Linked DNA regions of Lepisosteus oculatus. The protein of the gene in region 2 interacts with the protein of the main gene of each other region in a biochemical or structural test. Links are inferred from orthologs where the notes say so. Each region holds a gene or a part of one and is shown on either strand. Other genes may lie near its edges. The genes, in order: histone deacetylase 9 and pkd1a.

Region 1 (8,224 bases), on a different chromosome or scaffold from region 2:
GCAAAACAATGAATTTTTATTAGATTAATCGACAGCCTCACTTATTTTCCACTAGGGTGTTTCTCTGCAGCTCAAAGGTAAACACATACAGTATAATGTACTCTGAAACAGTCACAGATCTTGAGACAGCCTGTTACACCATCCTTTATTTGAATAAAGGCTACTAGAAGAACAATGACGTACTGTAGGTATGGGATTATTTTTAATCCATTCTCTACTGAAATTCTGAAAAGTTTAAAGTTTGTGGTTTGTCTTGGGATACCTGCCTCTTGAGCAATGCAAGTTAACCAACAGGTTCTCAAAACCTCTAAATTCCTTGTGTTTGTTAGTGACACTCTCCTTAGTGACAGCAGTAAAACTGAACGGTACACTATTTATTTTGGTTACACCACTTTGCACTCTGTAATTTTAAATAAATGTATTTTGTAAATTGTTGTCAATTCTGTTGAAAAGCATCCATAGAACCAAAAGTGCTTTTTGCACAGCATAGCTGTGGTAAATGTAAATTAACTAAGGCACTGTGCGTTTGTCACATTTGGATGGATTTTAAACACCAGTTCAAAGAGCATGACTCCTTCAGTAAAAATAACATGTAATCATGGCACATATTTTCATTCAGATGAACATACAGTAAGTGAATTACAGTTTACCTATACAGTACATGTGACCTGTTTCTTCACAAATGTATAAAATCATCTTTCATAGAATTAATTTTGTTTCATAAACAACGTTCTTACTAAAAAGGTAGACAAAGCACCAGCTGCAAACACAGAGGCTGCAGTCCTTCAGTTTTTGGAGAAGCTATTTTTAGAAATACTTCAGTACGGTACCTGTCGCCAGCAAAACGAGCTTCCAGTGAAGTCCCAAACAAGGTAAGGCTGGAGGAAAACGCAGTCCCAAGGCCTGCTTGATTTGTCATGTACCATGCGTGCAAGATTTTCCATTCTGGAAAGCAGTGCTGCTCTTCAACAGGACTTTAATTGGGTCCCAGTGTTCGTTGTTTATACATTTCCACCTTTATGACAGACTTGCCGTCTGTGTTTAACGAGCAGCTCGGAGGATAAAAAGCTCTGGCTTGTTTCGTACATGGCAGCAGCCCAATCTTCGAAACAGACACCAGATTTTCCAGGTCGCACTTCCTTACACGTATCTATTGCAAGACGTTGTACTTTGCCCCTACAGGGTTTCAATTATTTGGGATAGTACTTTTTATTTACAAAGGCCCTGATAAAAGAACTTTTGCTTTCTAGTTCAGTCCTACCAGCCACTGCTGCTTTATAACTGTACACTTGTGCTGTAAAACTTTCAGCCACACGTTCTGCAGCTAATAACACACACAAGTGAAAGTGTTGACACAGAAAAGGTCGGCATTTTATTTCCTAGAACTAGTTTTAAAATACAATTGGGTTTTTTTATAATCTGATGATCCATTTCTCTATTATAAAGGCTATTTTCTATCTTTTCAGTGCAACTTCTTTAATCTTTGCAACTGTTGCAAATACGTTTTAGTGGAAAACTAAGTAGCTACTCTTAGGGTAAGAATAAGAAGCTCTCTTGCAGTAACAATCCAAATATCAGAGCAGGTGCTGCCTTCCCCAGCTATTCGGTGGCTCTGTGGCTCAGGATCTGCGCCTGTGACTGGAAGGTTGCCGGTTCAAATCCCACGGCTGGCAGAGGAATCCTACTCCGTTGGGCCCCTGAGCAAGGCCCTTAACCCCCAACTGCTCCAGGAGTGCTGTACAATGGCAGACCCTGTGCTCTGACCCCCAGCTTCTCTCCCTGTCTGTGTGTCTGTGTCTCCATGGAGAAAAGCTGGGGTATGTGAAAAGATGAATTCCTAATGCAAGAAATTGTATAGGGCTAATAAAGAAACATAATTACAACATTATTCCTGACAGATTTGTGGATATGATAAAAGCAAAAATATGCTAAAATGTTAAATGTGCTTACGGGTTAAAAGCATCATAGAGATACCACACAAGGAAGGTAAAGTGTATTGTGGTTCCAGGAAGGTCTACAGTAAGTCCCACAAGGTGACTGCACTGTGACGCACTCTGTCCTGTCCAACCCAATTCTGATTTTCTGCTTTTGGAATGAAAGTTTAATGCAGCTGGTGTCAGGATATTCAGTGTACTGCTTTCTGAGCACTTGTCACAAGACACCTTACCTTTACTCTTGTTTTACAATGCAATAGGTTAAAAAAGCCCAGCCACACAGGGGATATCAGATAACAGGATACAGTTTTTTAAGTCTCCTCTAGGTGCAATCTAAAACAAAAGTATATACTGTAGTTGACTATATAAAGACATTGGGGACGGAAACTGTATTTTTTAATGGGTTATTACTTGTGCATTTACAAATTTAGATCCAATAGAACAATTTTATCTCATAGCAAGATAAATTGTATTTACAGTATATATATTTTTATGCAGAGAATGAAGAGTTTCAAAGCAGCCAGTCTTGAGAAATTAGCAATCCAGCTAAAATGTCATTTATCTGAAAATCTGCATTACAAAGTCAAACAAAGAACCACTCATGCTAAAAGTCAAATTTACTTTTTTTTCTGAGTGTTGTCTTCAAACCACATGGAGTTGTGAATATTGTACAAATGACTCATCTTATTTTAAAACACAGTAAAGATGAAATCTAAACCTTTTTCCTAACTGATGATGACAATTCAGAACCCAGAACTTGAGAGTGGCTCTCTGTTTTAGGTGTATTCTCTATACAACAGATCAAGTACTTGCTATTCTATCATACTGTGACCAGTATGTATATTAATCTCATTAGATCTTTGCTGATTCATAATGGTTCCTACTGGAAAGGTCTGCAGTAAGAGAGAACTTTTGGGATGGCAGGCCAATTTACGCAATTAATATTAAAAAATAATAATATTCTGGTGCCATTTCGAAGACAGTGAAAGTACCACTTTTGCATGATGTGTTTGATGTGCAAAAATGAGAAATTTTAAGTGGAGCTCCACTTGCTAATATGAGCTACATACGTATGTGCAGGTAGTTCAGGCGGGGAGCTGCGTCAGCATGCGTAGGCTGCAGAAGAACAAGTAACACTTGAAGAAGGCACCACAGCCGAAATGTTGCGTTTTCTGTCTTCTCATTTCAGCAGGAATACACCTATTATTTGTTCCTACTGTATATGTTCATGTATTCCTCAAAGGCATTGACACTTTGGAAACACCTTTATGAAAATGCTTCTTAAAAACTTCATGCATGTCTTTCTCACCATCATTGTATTATTGTCTCTTGTGTTGTTCATATACTAGTTTTTGTTTTTGTTGTTTTTTTGGGAGGTCTGTTTAGGATCATTCTTTCAAGGAAACTATTAGTATGAGTTTCCTCTCTAAATACCTTATTACATTTTGTGTTTTTTATATAATTCTATATTTATTTGATCTGTTGTGATCAAGATTCTACTGGTATGACAGATACAGTGCTGTCTTTGTTGATTTAAAATGGAAAAGGTCTTCAGAATCATGTTTGCATGAAAGAGCATTTGATGAATATTATGTTTTTCATGTGGTTTGCGGTAAATCTTCATCAAGTAACTGAAAATTATTTATTTAATAGCCACAAAAACACCACTCTGCATAAACTAACAGCTAATTTAAATAGTTAAATCAGCATACAATTTCAACTCATTGTTTTCACTTCCTTAAGATGTTTCTGTAACTATCCAGGACTACTGTGCATACTGTATGGCTATAGCAGTGACTGTCATGATGCTTTTCCCCAAAAATGAAATATTCATTTAAAATGATTTATGTGGCTTATAGGAAAAAAAATAATTGATTTGCTATATGAAGAACACACACATTCCTAACTGGTTGGTTAGACACAAGGCATTTGTATTTGAAAAGTAATTGTTTCTGCTTTTTTATTCTTCATAAATTAGCAGTGCATGATGGTCTCCATTAATTAAAATGAAAATAACATTTTGGGTAATCGAGTAAAAAAGTGCCCAAGGGGTCCTTTTCATTATTATTCTCAGAAAAAAATGGTTCTGTCCAGCCCCTAAGAGAGTTGTTTAATGAAATCTCACAAGCTGTGATTACTTTAACAAAACTTAAGACCATCTGCTAATGACCAGCAGGAAGCTAGACTTCAGAGGGTTTTTATTAACACAGACACAGTTAAAAATATGTAAAAGGTGTCTGCTCCTTAAAGATATCATATTTATTACGTTTGTACCTTCGGGGTTTTAATATAAAATTATGGAAATCAGGAAAGTATATATATATAATTATATAATATATATCCTCTTTTAATATATTATGATATGAGGTGCACAAAACAAAGTTTGAAAACTAAACTTGGTAATAAGTCAGTTGATATCTATGGACACTTTGCTAATAATTTGAAATTAATTATATAAAGAGGCATGAAACTTAAAAGTGAAAAAAAACATTTATCTTTAGGAAAAACCTATTATGGGTTTTAGCAAAAAAAATCAACTTAAGGAAAAAAAAACTAAATTCTAGCGATTTTTAGAAAGGAACCTTTTTTAAAAAAAAAGATGAGTTGAGGCCAAACTCACAGTTAATTGCAAGACAACCTATTTGCAAAGTGCGCACAGAAATATATCATAATAAATCATTATTCTCTATCTACTGTAGTTACAGCAGACAAGGTTATAAATACATATTGATTCAAAAGGCATTTTTTCTCTTGGGGCGCAAAGTAGTTTTAAAATCACAATAAAAAACAACAGAAGTGTTTTAAGAACTAGTGCGATAAACAGCGTTTATCGTGCCTTAATTTTCCCTCATTGTGTGAATGATCCTCGTTGTTAGCTCCAGCAATCTCGCCTGCTTTCTACTGTGTTGCTATTTATAGTAGATCCTACTTGTGTCGCCACAGGCTCTGATCGCATCTCTCTGCCACTGCAATTTGAAAACACTGCTCTCAGCCTGTCTCCTTGCTCTCCGGGAAGGCACGATATCCAAGATCACATCCAGATTAAAAACTGTACCTTAATACTGGAACCTTTCGCGTTTTGATCTTTTTCCCCCTGCAGAAATACCAGGTAAGAAAATGATGTAATTCTGTTCTATAAATAGCAAGGGGATAGGACAACCGCGAGCAACGCGTTTTGCTGTGTTTAGTTAACTGTGACTTCTTTGCAGTTTGTAATTAGCACAATTTCCAAGTGATTGGCCCCTGAGCCTTATGCTCGCCAATTTTAGCTTGTTGAAAACTTGTTCTTGTTTTCCCCCATGCGACTGAAGCGTTTTATGGTCGCTTTCATTTGTGTTATAAAATGATTTTAGCCATTAGTTAATCCAAGGAAACCAAAATAACTAAAGAGCATGAATAATTAAGTCGTGCCTCATAGGCGACACGACAAGATGAGACCAGTTTAATAAGCAAACGGCTTAAATGATGCCAAGTTGTGACATATATCGCACAGAGGTGTTAATCAGGTTCCTAATCAGTTCGTGATGGAAGAACTTAAATCAATTACACAATATAGTGTACATCCCAATGTTAAATATCAACATGCGCAGAACATTAGGACAATTTTGTTGGTATGGGAGCTGTCGTATACATTATTGTAAGATGTACACTTCTTCTAAATTGATGCCATAATGTTTAAAAAGACATCTTTAATTGTTATGGATTATAATAACGTTTATTTTATTTCGGTGTTTATTTAAACACCGTTTAAGGCGGCAACATCGCGGTGCACATGAAAGGCATAAATTTCCCGTTCCTGATCTGCATAAAATGATGCCATTTCTGGACTATAAATAGAACTCATTAACATTTAGCAAACAACTGATCACCCAAGACGTGAGTGACATACGAATGTATGACAGACTTCAATCTGTTAATTGGTTGAGCATTTGACGCACATAAAGCATAAAACATTTTTGCTGGCTTGTTGACCACGCACAACATGCTCTGAGACGCTGTTCAGAGCGAAACCGGGAGCGGGTTAAATTCAGGAAGTAAAGCACCCACCAGATCTTAAACGCCACACCCAACTGTTTGAAGGAGACACAAGAGGATTCTGTAAGAAAGGTAACCTCAGGTGCGGTCTGGGTTTTTGCCATTTTCAGGTGGGCTTCATTTTCAATCTTACCTTGGACATACTGTACAGTACTGTACTATTAGGCTCCCAAGCAGTGTTCTGAATGTTTTTTTTTGTCCAGAGACTGGGCAACTGAGCAAATGAATGGTGGTCCTGCGTCAACCAAGATCTGTGCCTTAAAACCGTGATAATTCTCCCCTCTGACCCAGGACCTCAGCTTGCCATGCGTTCTTGTGCAGACTGCTCCTGTTGAATGCCTACTTGACTCCAATTAACTCCGTAGCTATCATTCTAGTGACCGTAGAGTTGTCATGTGATGAAGTGGTGTGAGCTGCTCCAAATGACCGAAACAATCACCATGTTTTTTTTTTTCAAAATGCAAACTTCCAGTGATGAGCTATGATACTAATTGACTTGAAACTTGGCAGGTTTCATCGCAACCAGAACTGCCTCAGTCTTGTATCCCACAGGTTGCCTTACGTGCTCGTGCCCTGTTCCACTGACTGCTCTGCTTCACAAATTGTTTAGCCAGTGAACGTCCGATTTAGTGCACTCACGGTTCTGTCAGCCTGTCAAGGTCAATACAGGGGCAGAGGCGTAGTTGGGCAAAGCAATAGATTTGCTGCTCCTTCAGGAACTTAAGTTTTTGTCCTGAAGCTGAACTTGCCAAACCGTGAGTCTGAGAAATTTTATTATCTGTGCATTATTAATACTAGTAGTAGCGTTTCCCCCAGTAATTATCTACCGGAATTTCTTTGTTATCTCTCTCTGTTATTAAAATTCTCAATATATTACAGCTTAACTAATCTCAATTACAATTTGGTTAGACTTCGGTGTAATTTAAATAGGTTATTCGACAAGGTATCCTTATTATACCTTTTAACCCCAAAAAGCTATAATAATCTGTAATTATTGTACTTGGTAAAGGTTTATGCCTGATACAGTATGTATGGATTCCCTTAAAGAAGGATGTCGAGCTTTTTCAGTCATCCAGCATAATGGTTTTATGACTAACTTCTGCCTCATTTCTTTTATTTCTTTAAACTCGGGTTTGTAAAACTCTTGGTAACAACATTCCCTGACAGATCTGGGCTTTTCTGGCCTGGTATCTGGGTGTTCACCGCCACATTATGGATTCACTCAGAGTTTGGGGAACAACGATATTATCATATCTTGTGATATGTTTCTGCACAATTTTAAATTTTAAGATTTGGATATAACATGAGCTGAAATGCAACGTTTCAAAATAGTGTCTTTTTTTTTCTTCAGAATCTTTCTCTAATATTCTCACGTTTCTATCTGACTGCTGCAGATCTCCCTTTACTTTGGACATTCTAAATCTTGTTCGTGTCAAGTCCTTTTCATATTTGGACCACCTGTTTTGTGTAACTGCTAAAAAATTAAAGCACTTTGCTTTGAAGCATGTTTTGTCTATCATCCACTGGCTCATTTAAAAATGCCCCTCCTTTGATCATTTATTATGATTTGCTTTACATGTCACCGGTCTGTTGTACAGCATGTGTGCTACAGTGCATCCTCACCCTGAGAATGGCTCTATTAATTAAGATATCCAACTGCACGGCAGTGTCCAACTGTACTGTCTTTAAAATGCTGCCAATCTTTTGTTTGGACTGGTCTTTAGCAAAGAGGGTATAGTACGCTGCCTTCTTTAACATCTCAGCTTACTGGCCATGCCTGTCCCAGACATAGTGGCATACTGAAAGAGAACTACAGGGCATGTCACATTTCCTTGTGACTATTGTGAAACGGATTTCCAAGCCCCGGACAAGAGTGGTTAAAAATGTCACATGTCACGGGATGTGTCCTTTCTCACACGTCCATTTACATTAGTGTTACAAGTACGATAAACATTTATTACTGAACAAGGCTACAATAAGGCGGTGTAACTTGTATATTGTGTGCAACATCTAAAATATTGCGATGTGCATTTTTAAGCAGCTTTGTTGGGCTAAGCAGCTGTGGAAAACTGTTGAGTGAAATGGAGTTTTTTTTTAACCCAATCCCAACCCCCTTGTTCTAGATCGACAACAGGACCTTGAGCTTTCCGGTGTTTTGACCTCGTACAATCAAGATGTGTTTAGTGGTTAAAGAATTTGTGGAATGTTAGTAGTCAGAATCGTATGTACAGTATATAATCAATTTGAATAAATTA
Region 2 (8,086 bases):
CTGACTCAACACACAACAGTCGGCCCAAACACAGAAACTACAGTAAGACACCCGACAGGCGTGAATATTAAGACAAAATCTAATAATAATTTAACTGACCGGTCTAGTTGCATTTCTGAGATGCTGCGTCCGTTTTTCAGGACCTTGACTTTTCAAATATTAGCACCAAGACTCAAGATGCACAGACTGCAGGATGGCTATGTTAGACCATCACAGCAAGTCTGTTTCGTGCATTAAAGGGTTATTCGAAAACATGTCATGACATAATTTATTTTCTTTTGGCTAAATTTAGAAAGCAGTGGAAAGAGCCCAGAAAACCATTCAATGGTTTGAAGGGCAGAATAGTTTCTTATTAAACAAACTGGCTTAATATGCCCTACTTACAAAATCACGAATGACACAAAATGACACTATAGTATGTGTTAAACATCCTAAAATTGAGCACAGAATGACTACAATGCAGTCAATCACAGAAACTAAGCAATCTAGAGCCCATTGAGTGCTGGAATGGAAGATCTCTATGGAAAATCAGGATGCTGCTAGAAGTGCTGCTGGATCATCTTCCCTTTGGGCCAGAATTTACGAACCAACATCCCAGTGTGGTAAATAGGGACTGTTGGATCTGCAGTCGTCCGGACGAGATGTTGAACTGAGGTCTTGACTACTCAGTTGTTGCAGTCGTTGTAGGGATTGTAAAAGCAGGGATCCTGGCTATAATTTAGTCTCAACTTGCACAACCTGGTCTCTCTAAAATGTCCCCCTTTATTCAACGGGTGAAGCCATTTCTCACTTCTCTGACCGGTCTGCAGTGTTATGGGGCCCCTGGTGCAGAAAAGCTACATTTGAAGTGGGTCCTTTTACCAGTGAAATGCTTTGGGATGAAGCACGTTATAAATTGTAATTCAGTATTATTAAAGTTTTTGAAACAAACGTTTCAGAAGCTAAAACAAATAATTGTCTTAAGTAATTAAGCTAATTATAATGATATTATTTTAAGAAAAAAATATTTTTAGATTAATTTAAAGAACAAAATACCATTCTTAGAGCTGCTAAGACAATATTCGGCACCTGCCAGGTACTGAAATAGCATGGAATGTATTTTGCAAATACAATCAACTTTTTGTATAACAGTTTTGCACTTTTACCCAACCCAACTGGTGCTACAGAGCCTTAATCCAATAGCTTTTGCAGGCCATCATTAAATCACCAATTTCTAAAGACATGGACCAATTCAAGTGTGTTTAATTAATCATGAGGTTTGTTAAATTAAGTAATTTAGAGGTCACTTAGGATTAAAATCGAAGTAATCTTTAACCCTCGAGGACATGAGTGGTCTTAATTGAATCGATAACTTGCTTGACTCATCAATAATTTATAAATGATGCCAGTCTCTGAAACCAGAGGACCTGTAAGACTAGCTGGATCAGGACCATGACTGGAGACCCCTGCTGTATAACTTCATCTGTTTACCGTATATTTACTGAGAGGCACTAAAAATAGAACACGCTATTCAGAACATGAGAAAGGTTGCAAACAAGAGGTGGCCATCCAGTCGATCTAGTCCATTTGATAGTATTCGAACTGATCCAGGGATGTCCTCCCGCTGTTTCTTGAAAAAAAGTCAAGGTATCGGCTTCAACAGCAGAACTGGGTAGCTTGTTCCACACTCACACAGCTGTATTGTTTCCAAGACTCTTTTGTTGTTTTTTATAACGTCTCCCATCTCAACAGCCTTTGCATATACAATACCATTCAGTTTTTATGCATGCACCCCAGCCTGATATTACAGTATAAGCATCATGAACAAGCAACGTGCACGGTTCTTTTCTGTTCTTGTGCGACAAAGGGATGCTCTTGGTTCTAGACACGGCATACCTCTGCATGCAGGTGAAGTTTCACATGTGGCATTTTACAGAATTACGTTTTTAACTACACTACATTGCGATGAGTTGATTGTTCCATCACTGCAGAGCTGAAGGCGTGTCCAAAACAGACCTATTGTTTGACCAAACAGACAAATAGGGGTATGTATCCTATTTTAACAAGACACCTCTCCATTTCTTTAAATTTTAAAGTTTTGATGATGTCTTTCGGGACATACAGAAAGACCTCTCTAATGTTTCGATTGGGTGTTTGAAACCCTTTTATCAGGCACTGTCAAATCACGTTCAATTTGCAGCGCTTTAATCTGGCTAGTGGGTGTTTTTGCCGTGGTTAAAGTGAAGGACCTTTTCTGTGCATCCTTCCAGAACCTAGTCCCCAGTCACTGAACCAAGATAAAACCAATCATAATTCTCAAACAGCACTCATCGGGTCGTTCTGCCCCGTTGAAAAGCCGTTATTGAAGCTGATAGTACTACTACATACTGTAGGAAAGTATTATACGACTGGTGTATTTAGAGGTCTTTTACACTACGCTGCGTCCTCGTCCTTTTACACCGAGGCTTATGTCCTCGTCTTCCACAACATAACGTAGCACAAATCCCAAACGCATTTTATTATTTTTTGTCAAACGCACAATACAAAAATGCAACTTACTTAAAAACAAAATCAAATGATGCATTAGTGTATAACTTGCATATCTGTGTTTTTTGTGAAGTAACCGACTACTGTAGTTGTGTTAGTCGAGGCGCTTCTTGGTGGTGAATTTCTTGAAAGGTTCACTGATCATGGTTAATCTGTACCAGCAAACCTTTAATCCATTTGTTTCATTCAGATATCGGTCAATGATTTCCAGTTTCACTGAAAACATTAGTACAGCAAGGGTACAAATTTCCGATGTTTATTTTTTAATGTATCTAATTAAAACATTTGACATATTTGCGGTGTATTTTAACATTCAGCTTATCTTAAATACTGTTTGTATATTTCTATATTAATCTTAAAATAGTTACTCACACCGTGTCCATGTTTATATTTTTCATTTGGTTAAATATGAAGTTTTTTTATAGGATTCATTAAATATTTTACTAAAGTCTTTGGAATTTAAAATATTTCACACTGTTTCGTTCAGTAGAGAACAATAACGGGGTTGTTTTCCTGCCATTCTAGTTCACAGCACAATAACTTTTAAACTAATCGAGAGTCTGTTGGCAAGCACCAGATGAAAACAGTCTCATACCCAAGATTGGATCAGACTAGTTATGCTGTATGTCACTAAAGTTACTTTAAAGCATTTTGTTTCCCACTCGGATACAAATATTTTCTCTAAAAGCTCAAATGATATTTTGAGACGTTGTTCCCCCCGGTAAACACACTGTAAATCACACAACAACATCAAGGACAAACAGGCAAAGAGCAGAAACTGATATTTTCCGCTAGGGATGTAAATCCCAGCTACTTACAGAATACTGGTGTAGTACGGGATGTCCGTCGCTTCTGGTACCCGGTCGAGCCCTGTGTTAGAGCAGTTAACGACACTTTGTGGTCCCACAACTGAACATGTACAGTTCTTGGGACAGTGATGGTTGACCGAGTCCACCATTCCCGAGGTGAGAGCAAAACACAAGGAAAGCAGTAGACTGGTGGAAAGTCCGAACAGTGAGGAACAGACGCCATGTTTTCGCTTGGATACAGTTTGTCCATTTCCACAAGGCATCGCTCACTCACATCGCATCGCCACTGAGGTTGCTAATCTCTCGGTCGAACTGGGGGGAAAAGTTTCTTCTTTCGGTTGTTTGCATGAATATCATTGAAACCTCCTTCCCCCCCCGATTCGAAAACCTTCCTTATTTGAGTGTACCAATTCCTCTGGAAAAAAAAAGTTTTGAAACTCCTCTGCTAAGTTCTCAGGAAACTTCCTTCTCTGTTTGCTTTCGAACTCTGCAATGCCATGTTTTCAACACTAGGGTTTCTTGCAGGGAAAACTTCTTGAGGTTTTGGGAGTTCACTAACGAGACGAATAATCCCTCAGCCCTGAGATGCTGTATAATTTTGTTCCGTATGAACGCTGTTGTATTGTAGCCCATTAACTGCGCGTAAAAATAAATCAGATCAAAACGTTCTTCTCCTTTATTTGGAGACACAAACATCAATAGCTGCAGCTGCACCTACTGTACATTAAATCGTTTTGCAACTACTAAGTAATTTTAATACAGGGTACGCTTATTTTTAAAACGAAAATGTCTGGTTATGCCTGGTTACAAGGTCACGTCAATTTGTGCTACTTTGTTGTAATTCCTTTCTATTATTGAAAATAGTCCGTTTGAGAATGTATATCCAATGCAGAAAGCTCCTATTATTTTTTTATACAACTAAACGAAATAAAAGAGGGATCTTTTTCTCGAATAAATGTAGACGTCCGTATAAATATGTAGAGTTTACAATAATGTTTAACTTTAAAGAAGTATGACAAGGATATACCGTACATTGTTACTGATATTTCTTTTTAGAATAGTTTAATATACACTTAATCAGTCCAGGTCTTTAACACAGTAAATGTTAAATATCCTTATTTTTAGATACATTGTTACAGACAGGCAGTAGTAGGATTCTGTTTTTCATTGTCCAAACAAAAACATTTACAGAAAGTGAAGTTTATTTTCATCATAGCTGGCGAAAAGTAAAGGGAAAATATAAATATTGAATGGATAAACATCTTAAACCAAATAGACTGATGTTTTGTATAGCTTCAATGTTCTGATAGCTTGCACCGTCTTTAATGCTTTGCATATACTGTATATTTTCATGGTTGAGATTGTGATATTGTATTAAATATCCAGAATTAAACAATATTCCAAACTTAGTCCTATCTCTAAACCTTCTCTAAAGTATGTAGGATTCAAGATACTTCATTTATAATAAGACTCTGGAGGACAGGTCATGAATTTCAAATCTCTGGCTTGTTCTTTGATGACTAGATAGCATTTTATATTAGGATATACCCCTCATATCTTGCACTTTCATAGTAAAAGATTGTATTTTGATGAGAGATTTTGGTGCCAGCCTTGAATTCAAATTAGAAGCCTCTTGCCAACAGTAAGGCATATCATTACACTGTCTGAATAACATGGCTATACATACAGTACTGAAGCTATTGTAGCCAAATTGCTTAAAGAAAGTTTAATACAGTGTGTACAATTTAGCTACGTTGAAGAGTATGTTTGTTTTGACAGGGGAAAACAACTTAGCAAATTTCAAATTTCTTCTATAAATGATCCCTTAGAATTCCAGAGGTTTTCCTTATTATTTATTTCAGTTGCAATTTGGCTCTCCAGCTAAGGAGATGAAAGGTACAATTTACACGAAAAGCAAACATAAAAGAAAATAGATCAAAGCCAAATACAGTCTAATTTTAAATTGTTCAGAATCGGTGTTCCCTAACCAGACAGAAGCATTCAGCATCTCAGAAAGTGCAAAATACTATTATCCTAAAAGCAACCTGCTGTTCCATTATCCTTATTATACCCCAAAACAAATCAGTCTTCTTAATACCATTGGTGTGTGCCAGTATCAATGAGGTACTTTCCTGTGGCTGTTTCCATTCTATAAGTACTTTTCTTTATAAAGAACAGAAGAAAGGCTGTAAATTAGCGGGTATTTGGCCCATTTGGTTCATTGGTTGAACAGTCTTCTGAATGAGCAACTACCTGACCTAGATAAGTATTGAATACAATAAAACCGTGGAAGAGAATAGCTCTACCAATGTCTTTTGTTCACCAGCCTTCTCCCTGTGATTGAGTGCATTGTTTTAGTTCTGTTCCATTGGTACTCTCTCATTAAAAAAAAAACACTAAGACTCGCATCTCCTCGAAACCGTTTGCTTTCACACTCCCAAAGGTTTTATCTTTACTAATTGTTATACCTGACAAGCTGACTCCGAAAGAGGGAGAAAAAAAAACACTTCAAATTAAGCAAATCACTAAAAAAAAACACGACTCTGAAAAGTACAAATAAGACAAAAGGGATTTGCTCATTGTTGTGTGAACATGGTATACTGTACAAGACATTGCAAAGCATTAATCCTCAATAAGTTATTCATTTTATTTTCGCTCCTCCCCCTCAGAATTGAGGAAACTGTGCTGCCAGCTCAATTCTGGAATGACCATGTGACAGCAAGCAGGCAGCTGTAACCGAACTGTGCTTCCTCTCATGAATGCAGCACTTAAGTTAATTTAAAAGACAAATACAAATGTACACTCTTTTGAAATACAGCCACCAAAGAAATAGTGTACTTGTGTAAGCATATGTCAATTTGTTGTTAATAGGTGTGTGACAGGCAGGGATATTTGGCTGTTGTAGAGGAACACAAGGAGCTGCACGATGGCGTGATGGTGAGCGTTGCTGTCTCCAGTGTTGGGGCCCTGGGTTCAGCTCTGGCCCCGTAGTCCTGTCTGGCTGGAGTTTGTACTGTATGTCCTCCCCTTGTCCCGCATGGCTTTCCTCCAGGCGCTCAAGATTCCCACATTCTGGACATAGTGGTAAGGTCAAGTGGGTTCTGGGGAAATCGGCCCGGGTGCGAGTGTGACCGTGTCTCTGTCTGGGCCTGTCCTGCGATGGACTGGCGTCCCTTCCAGGGTGTACCCCGCTTCGCACCAGTTGCTTATCAGGATCCCCAGCCGCCCGGTGTTGTAAAAGCAGTTAGAAAACGGACGAATGGATAAGAAAACAAAGTAAGTATATTACGTACTTTATTACGTTAATTACGTATTTAATGCAGACTTCCTTGCATGAATGCAAATACATTCATATTCATCGAACTAAAAACGAGTGCTTTAAGCTGCGGTTTCTATTGTGATATGTAGTGATTCATAATTATTTTTCATCTGCCCTATGTACCTCTCAAGGTTGAAGATCTTGCCTCCGTTTGATCTTTGTGTTATCATTTCTCAACCTTGAGTTGTGCTTTGAAATCAAAGAAAGGCTCCTGCAGTATTAATGTGGATATGAGTAACACATAACACCAGACATTTGTTTTTGCATTTGGATGGAAGTTTTTTTACAGACGCTACATTCAAACACACACTGAACACTAGGGGGAGCATCTTCCTCAGACTGTCCTGTACAGACGATCCACACCAGGAGTAGGCAGTTCTATAGGCTGGAGTGCTGGAGGACAAGCATGTGACTAAGATCAAATAAACTGCTTTTTCATGTCATAAACAATCGCTCGTTTTAAAGCATCTCTAAACCCTGCAGGATTCAGGTTCTCTTAAGGCACTTGATCTACGTTTTTTTTTAAAATGAGCATCCTGAGTCATCTGTAATTAATAATAGGAGTTTTTTTAAAGCTGGTCAGTATGGCTTTATATACAGTATATCTTAACCAATCACAGATCAATAGTAAGCAAAGTGACTACAAGACATGAAGTGCTTTGAGTATCACATCGTCTACCTACAGTACTGTATTTAAAAACGATTTTAAATAAAAAATGTGCCCCAAGCAAGCACACTCATTAATATTTACTTGCACTCCTCAACAGTTAATACTACTGCTGCTCCTTCCTACTACAGTTTAAACCAATAATAAAATTCTGATTTATGTACGGATCCTTTCTGTGTAATTTATTGTGCATTTATTGAACACTCAGAAACACTGAGAGTGAACATTGTCTATGGAATGTGAACTGAGCCAAGTAGTTCAATATCCTTGTATTTCTGTTAGTATAGCCTGTCTGTTATGTGTCAAGCTTTGAAAAGCCAGAGGCAAGTTTGTGAATCAATGATAGGACATCTTTCTGACCTGCGCAAGTGTGTATTTTTCATAATCAACACCACCACACACTTCAGTATCTACATCTACAGTGGCCACACAAGTGCCAGCCTGTAGTTTTGCTTGTGTTGGACAGTTTCCATTCTGGGATTGTGGCCACCAATTCCATACTTCACCAACTTCTGTCGTGGTTTTGATTCTTTTATTTGTACCAAAAAATAACACTGAAGCACATTTTGGGATTTCAGCTGGTCTGCACAAAGAGCTCTGTGTTTGGATTATAAAGCGACACTTTCTCTGTTTTTTGTTTATCCTCCCCTGTCTGTGTCTTTCTTTATTTTCAGGACATACAGTAGGTGCCTCACATAATTATTCAATTAACATGCTACGGAAGGGAAGTGTGACTCATGCCTACTGCAGACTATTACCAAGCTG

What was found.
Region 1: the proteins of pkd1a (region 2) and histone deacetylase 9 form a complex in vitro, tested with the Homo sapiens proteins (2 studies listed by BioGRID, with this or other methods). The link is inferred for Lepisosteus oculatus from reciprocal best matches to the Homo sapiens genes PKD1 and HDAC9.

Annotation. Positions count from the first base shown.
Region 1 is NC_090705.1:2,103,738-2,111,961, reverse strand, and holds the start of histone deacetylase 9, read left to right. Parts: upstream 1-4,869; 5' UTR 4,870-5,043; intron 5,044-8,224. Other genes in the region: snx13 (sorting nexin-13), read right to left, coding at 831-944. UniProt on the Homo sapiens protein: Responsible for the deacetylation of lysine residues on the N-terminal part of the core histones (H2A, H2B, H3 and H4).
Region 2 is NC_090714.1:2,682,087-2,690,172, forward strand, and holds the start of pkd1a (polycystin-1), read right to left. Parts: upstream 3,821-8,086; 5' UTR 3,599-3,820; coding exon 3,345-3,598; intron 1-3,344. UniProt on the Homo sapiens protein: Component of a heteromeric calcium-permeable ion channel formed by PKD1 and PKD2 that is activated by interaction between PKD1 and a Wnt family member, such as WNT3A and WNT9B. Both PKD1 and PKD2 are required for channel activity.